Linked DNA regions of Bombyx mori. The protein of the gene in region 2 purifies or fractionates together with the protein of the main gene of each other region. This does not show direct contact. Links are inferred from orthologs where the notes say so. Each region holds a gene or a part of one and is shown on either strand. Other genes may lie near its edges.

What was found. The genes of interacting proteins can lie anywhere in the genome.
Region 1: the proteins of Cdk7 (region 2) and general transcription factor IIH subunit 5 purify together in Homo sapiens (affinity purification with mass spectrometry; 7 studies listed by BioGRID and IntAct, with this or other methods). This does not show direct contact. The link is inferred for Bombyx mori from reciprocal best matches to the Homo sapiens genes CDK7 and GTF2H5.

The regions. Positions count from the first base shown.
Region 1 is NC_085109.1:11,979,526-11,983,694, forward strand, and holds the start of general transcription factor IIH subunit 5, read left to right. Parts: upstream 1-1,337; 5' UTR 1,338-1,464; coding exon 1,465-1,499; exon of another isoform or gene 1,500-1,729; coding exon of another isoform or gene 1,730-1,867; intron 1,868-2,503; coding exon of another isoform or gene 2,504-2,650; intron 2,651-2,768; coding exon of another isoform or gene 2,769-2,874; intron 2,875-3,388; coding exon of another isoform or gene 3,389-3,525; intron 3,526-4,140; coding exon of another isoform or gene 4,141-4,169. Other genes in the region: meiotic nuclear division protein 1 homolog, read right to left, coding at 1,730-1,867, 2,504-2,650, 2,769-2,874, 3,389-3,525, 4,141-4,169. UniProt on the Homo sapiens protein: Component of the general transcription and DNA repair factor IIH (TFIIH) core complex, which is involved in general and transcription-coupled nucleotide excision repair (NER) of damaged DNA and, when complexed to CAK, in RNA transcription by RNA polymerase II.
Region 2 is NC_085127.1:9,225,637-9,228,742, forward strand, and holds the end of Cdk7 (cyclin dependent kinase 7), read left to right. Parts: intron 1-514; coding exon 515-687; intron 688-1,401; coding exon 1,402-1,543; 3' UTR 1,544-2,568; downstream 2,569-3,106. Other genes in the region: tubulin polyglutamylase TTLL13, read right to left, coding at 3,022-3,106. UniProt on the Homo sapiens protein: Serine/threonine kinase involved in cell cycle control and in RNA polymerase II-mediated RNA transcription. Cyclin-dependent kinases (CDKs) are activated by the binding to a cyclin and mediate the progression through the cell cycle.

The DNA.
Region 1 (4,169 bases), on a different chromosome or scaffold from region 2:
GATATGTAGGAGAAGTAAAATGTCCCTTAGAAATAAGGTGACACTCTACAAAACTTGCATACGCCCCGTCATGACCTATGCAAGTGTAGTGTTCGCTCACGCGGCCCGCATACACTTGAAATCATTCCAAGTCATTCAATCCCGTTTTTGCAGGATAGCCGTCGGAGCCCCGTGGTTCGTCAGGAACGTCGACCTCCATGACGACCTGGACTTCGAGTCCACCAGTAAGTATATGCAGTCGGCGTCAATGCGCCACTTCGATAAAGCGGCACGACACGAGAACCCTCTCATCGTGGCCGCCGGTAACTACATTCCCGATCCTGCGGACAGAATGGAAAGCAGTCGACGTCGCCCAAAACACGTCATCTCGGATCCTCCCGATCCACTAACGGTGCTTTTAGGTACTTCAAGCACCGGTCACCGTTCTCGTCGAACCCGTCGCTTGCGACGAAGGGCTCGACGAGTAAATTAACTCTTAGACACAGCCCACTGAGTTTCTCGCCGGATCTTCTCAGTGGGTCGCGTTTCCGATCCGGTGGTAGATTCTGCGAAGCACGGCTCTTGCTAGGGTTCGTGTTAGCAACATCGTCAGGTTTGAGCCCCGTGAGCTCACCTACAAAAGTTAGGGTTACGCTGATATAGCCTCTCAAGGCTCTCAGCTTAGGCAGGAAAAAAAAAAAAAAAAAAAAAAAAAAAAAAGAATGATTTAGAACCAGCAGACTTCAGAAATGATCTACGAATGGATTCGAGGTCGTTTGACCAAATATTAAGCCTTGTGGCACAATTTTTTTCAAAAGCAGGATACTATCCTACGATACTACTATAGTCTATTATATATCTATATTATATAACTATTACATATCTAATCCTACGATAGTATAAGTCCAAAAGAAAGATTGGTTGTAACATTAAGATTTCTTGCAACAGGAAATTCGTATCAAGATTTAATTTTTAGTTCTTTATAATATCCCAACCCCTTCTGACAAAAATTATCCCTGAAACAAGTTGGGCTATTTATAAATGTTTGGCACATTTAATAAAGGTGAGCGAAATAAATACTTTTTATTCGGAAGTAAAAAACAAACTAAGCCGTCCTTACGCACGGAGAGCTATGGGACGACTGAAATCATTAAGTAACTAAATGCGATTACACCTTCTTATATGCGTTTCTAATTAGGCTTCTAAATGATTTAGTCAGTCAGAAACCATCCTTGCTACTGAATTTAGCAGGTTAACTTACTGAATGCTATTACACCGACTAAATTTAGCAAAGTGTAATGAGCCTTCCACACTTACCCATAAATAATAGATATTAAGTGTATAGTCTATGAATAATAGTTTATAATAGTAATAGTATTCTGTATAACCTATGGTATCTACTGAAAGTAGGGAGTAAATAGGTACCTACATACTTTATTTACAATTAATTATTACATAAAGTGACAAGTTCTAAAACAATGAACCATGGTGAATGTAATGAAAGGTGTCCTCGTTGAATGGTATTTATTATTTTTATTTCTCACAAATATTACTTTTACATATGCAAACTTACAGATAAAGTTAGAATCGTTACAATGTGCTTTAATGATTTGAATTTTAAATTACATCAGTTAATCAATTTACTACGTACAATATATTAACTTGCCAAAGAATTTCTTCTTTGGTTTTTCCCATACTTAAATTTAATGTTCTGGGCCTAGGTTATGAGGAATGCCTTGTATATAAAACTTCATTCAATGTAATCCATATCTTTAGGTATGTTAAAATTTTCTTCTAGTGCATCAATATCTATTTGAAAACTATTTTTTATATAAGATTTCAATATATATACATTTTCTGTCCATCTGTTGCTGGCTGTTTTCAATTCCTACAAAATGAAACATTTTTAATCCAATATTATTATTTGATAATATTATAGTTATGTCTTTGGTTATACATACTACCACCTACAGAAAGCTATTTATCAAAACATAGTATTTTTTTAAATGTACTTTGTTTTCCTTATTTTTAAATAATGAATACAATGCTTAATTAATATACTGATAAGTTATATTGAGTAATATTACCCACCAAATAATAAAATATATATTTTCTAGCATGAAATAGACATGTTAGACTTAAAAGTCATTACCAGTTGTAAGCTCATACAGTTTTGTCATTCTGCCTACATCTGCCAAAAAAAATATACACATTCCAGTTTGATCAGTTCACTTGGCCTTTATGAAATATAATAGTAACTGATCTAATGTGTGCAATATTAAAGTGGGTAGCAGAAGTCACATTGTGATACCTATCAACTTCAGTAACTTACTTAACACTTCAGAAACACTAAATACTATACTACTATAGAAAGGCCATGAACTGATTCATCAATTACTAAATCCTTAAACTTGGGACATTGGCCTTATCTATTGCGCTCACAGTGGGGCGCTAATATGAGCTTGAATGGAATATAGACCTTAAGACATCATCTCATCTACATTAATATAAGAATTGGATTTACAGTTATTTCACGTCTCAGTTGTGCAATATATTCAGGATCAGATTCTCTGTATTTTTGTAATTCTCTCTTATATGAAGCCTCTTGCTTTTGAAGATCTTCTAAAGATGATAATATTTTTATTCTTTCTTCAGATATCTCTCTGCCTTTCTAATATTAAAGTCAATTAATAAATATATCAGTCTCTGATAAATATAGAATAGAATTAAGTTTCATTATAACTCTATAGACTATACTATACTAAGTAAAAAACTATAAATATTCTGACCGATTCTGCTATAAGGACTTCCTCAGTTTTCTTTAACTTCTTCGTACATTCATCAAATTCATTCTGGAGTTCTTGTAGCTTCCTCTTCTTGGTACTTTTTGCTTTGCTACAAGTAATTTATTTAATGTTTGCATGGCATTACCACAGCTTGCTTGATTTGAAAAATAATTTTGCAGTCATAAATTTTTAAAAAGCACAATTGTTTACTCTTAATTTCTCATAGCATCAGTGTGTAAAGTCCATGTAAATTTTATTATTCAAAATAATAAAACTAGTCTTAGTCAATGACTGACTCGGTGGTGCAAAAGTTGGCACCCCTGACTGCCGAAAGTTGTGGATTCGATTCCCATATTGGGCAAAAATTTATTCATTCAGCTTTACTGCTTACATGAGTCCACCTGGTTTTACATGGTAACCGAAGCCCATAGACATTACAACATAAATGCTGCCACCTGCCTTGAGACAAGATTTCTAAGGTCTCAGTTGTAACAGCATGATGACCTAACACCCTTCAAACCGAAATAAATAACTGCTTAATGGCAGAAATAGGCCAGATTTGACGCCAGATGATAATGTACTGTTCTGTTCCCAGTTATTTAGTTAGTTGTTTAACATAGTACCTTGGGAAAGACCAAAAGTACACTGAAGTCCCAATTTTTTCAGAATCAACCAGGTGATCATCAATTAGACTCTGAATCACTTCTTTAACTGATTGCATTGTAATACCCTTTTCTTTTGGTGCTATTTTTTCTAGTTCCTGTAAAAGTTAAAATATAAAATATTATCTTAATAGATTTTGTTATGGCCACTTCTGTTTTATGTGCTGTCTAAACATTTTCTTTTGAACTAATTATTGACTATTTGGTGACTCAACTAACATGATCACCAACAAATAAGAAATTGGACTCCTACCAAGTAAGTCAAATGATGAGTAAACATTCGTGAAAACTTCATTTATTATTACTTTGCTCTCAATTAATTAAAAAACGACCTTGCATTGCTAGTAAGTAAGAAACTCCAGACACTATTTCACACTGTCTCATTTATCCTAAATAAGAGATATATTTTATTGCTTAGTTGAGTGGAAGAGCTTAATACCCACCCCTGGTGTATGTGATTAGGTTACTGGAGTCAACAGACATCACAATGTATGTGCCACCCATCAGTATTATCAGATTTCATTAATTATTTATTGTGAAAGTCATTTATAAACATGTTTAATTACAAAGTTCATTACTAAAATTGGCACCTAACCGCTGGGTTTAAACATTGCTATAATAATACTGTTTAATATGAGTACATCTGGCATCTTATCGTTTAGGGCAGAGTGACATCGAAAGCTATGTATGAAGTTGTAATTTAATGAGGTTACCTTTAATTGAAAAAAATCTTGACTTTGAT
Region 2 (3,106 bases):
AGAGTTTAATGTGTGTTTGATATCTTTTGTGACAGTGAGATCGCTGTAATGAAGTCGGAAAACATTTAGAACTGTTTTAACTGTGTATACAGGGTATACAGGATAATGCGCATATCAAGTTAAAACGCGATATCGCTAATGTAGATCACGTTAAACTTGTTAAAAAAATCACAATTAGTAGGATAGGTAGGTTCATACAAAGGCGGATCCGGGGGGGGGGGGTCATGGGGGTCATGACCCCCCCCTGAGCTGCTTCCAAGACTTAGGTGAACCACTAATTGAACATAATGATTTTATTTATATATTTTGTCACCATACAGATTTTTTGTAACTGCATACCTTCAATATTTAATTAATTTAATATAATACAATAACTTTGTATGATGGCGGAATGAACACATCGAATATTTGACTATGTGACCCCCTCCTGGCGCCAAAGCTGGATCCGCCCTTGGGTTCATAGTCAGTTAGTTACAGAGAGATCACTATAGAAAACTCCTCGCTCTTATTCCAGGGTATGAAGACTCTCACAGATTATGTGCAATTCAAGCTGTTTCCCGCTCAAGAACTACGGCATATATTCAGTGCGGCGTCTGAAGATCTTATATTTTTATTGGAGAGCCTTTTAGCTCTGTACCCGCCAAATCGATGTGATTGCACGCAGGCCTTGCAAATGGCGTATTTTAGGTAAGCTATTTTCATTGATAAATAAGTACTATACAGCGGGCAAAAAATAACTTAGGTATTTCGGTCAGTATTCGTATCGCTTGATGCGAATATGATAGGGTTCATACCAACAACAGTTTTCAAGTTTTCCAAACGAATAAAATATATATCGCTGTAACGAGTTCAGGAAAAACTTCAGGATACAGAACAGGAAAAATTTCGTGTAATCAAAATCCGCTTTTATATGTAGGTTTGTACATCATTGATGGTAGGAAAATCGCTCGCAAGAATCTTTACCTATGTCTTGCCTATTTCTGTATGTGTGAAGCACCCTATAATCCATAATTCTTTCTAAAGTATATTACATTTCGACTGTGTCTTCATGTCGCGAGATGGGTCACACCTGTGGGTTCCGGCAATCACTTGTGGGCTGCCAACCTAGTGAAATAAAACTAACGTGTATAATTAACTGTAAATATAAGTAATGTAACGAAATCATCTTGAGCACCGTCTACTTTATATAAAAATACTCTGAAGAGACATTCATGTGCATTCACTTAAGCGTATAATTATTATAAATGACAGTACCTACAACTGATCGATATGTTTTTTTTATACGACAATGACTTTTCCAAATTCTAATTACAATTTATGAAATATTTTATTAATCATGTGTCCTGCATTGATAAATTTCTTGGATGTTTGTAAAACTAAATAGTTCTATGCCTATTGCAGTAGTAAACCGGCGCCATCGGTCGGCCCTAAGTTACCGATGCCTTCGAATATTTCAAAACTAGAGGTGGAAAAGCCGTCTTTGAAAAGAAAACTCCTGGACAACATTGATGGAGGCTCACTAGCGAAAAGACTACAATTTTAATGTTATTCCAATTTAGTACAATAATTTAAGTGCAATTTAGACAAATAAAAGATGTATGGTTGACTTTGTCATAATTGAACCACTTGGAATGTTTTATTAAAAGGTTGTCGTTGACTAAGAGTAAAAAAGTTGACTGATCTTTTTAAAAATATAATAATTAATAATAGCGACGATCCCTACGTATAAAGCGATATAATAACAAAACAAATTTTAGTGTTTTATAAGAACGCTATAAAGATGCATTTAATATAAATTATATATAATAAAGTATATATATCTTTTTTTTTTATGTTTCAATATACAACTTGTTAAAACGTTTTAGCGGGATATTTTTCAACAAACAAATTTCTCAAAAATTTCTCACCTACGTGGTACGCCGCGTAAAGTAATGTAAAATAATATCAATTAAGTTGAAGTGTGCATTTGCCGTGAATGCAAGTATTTGGCAACCTTACAAGATAATTAAATTTTACAAATATTAAGTTCCAAGTTCTTACGATACGTGCGTTCTACGTAACGTTGGAGCGCATTTAAATACATTTTGGTAAGATTAATAAAGCTCACCGACTGATGTTCTCTTATAATTTGCATTATTTTAAACACATCTTTAAACATTTTAGAGTCGTCGGTGAGCTAATTATACTGAATACTGTAAATAGCCTTGTAGACTAACAATGGAGCAAGTCTGATATTTTTAAATGAATTAGTTGAATACAAGTCACGTTGTCGAATAAATTTGACAAGTTAAATAATACTTTAATATAATACATTAATTTCGAAGTTAATAAAAAATACATTTTTATATAAAACAATTTTGTGAATATGACATTGAAGGAAACATGGGTAAAGCTTGAAGCTTTATTAAAAATAATTATTTAAAAAGTCAAATGAAACATTTTTTTGACATTTTAAAAGTATTCGTTATCATTAAAAAAAATTAGAACAGTTGTTTTAATGTAACACAACTAAGAGTTAAATGTTGGAGCATCGACTTTTAAGTTATAAAATATATATCATTGATATTTTTTTGTTTTATTTATTTTATTAATCCAATTATTATTTTTTCAGAAAAACAGGTCTACTGGTTATTTTCTCGGCAATATTATGAGGTGAAATTTAAATTTAAATTTTAAGTCGGTGAGATGAGAGTTGACTCGTTCCGTAAACATCAAATCACATAAAATTCTGTCTACAAAGATTTAAATCCACAATGAAAATTGTTGAACGACTCCCCAAAAAAGGGTTAAAAGTGTTACCTTTTGAAGGTTTTTTTAAAAAATAGATTTGATTTACTACTTTTGATGACAAGAACGAAAGCTTACTATTTATCGCGGGACAAAACTCCAGCCAAGAAATATCTACATTAAAAAGGTTTTGCACAAGTCCACGAATGAGAAATTAATAAAAAAGAAAGTAATTTCAAATTTAATGCGTATTTTAGGAAAGTAGGCAAATTCAATATTTCTCAATTTAAACAGTCATTTCCTAATTAATAACGTTAGTTGCGCGCACAGCTGGGTTCTGGTGATCGTATCAAAGTATTCAGTGTTAGGTATACAACGA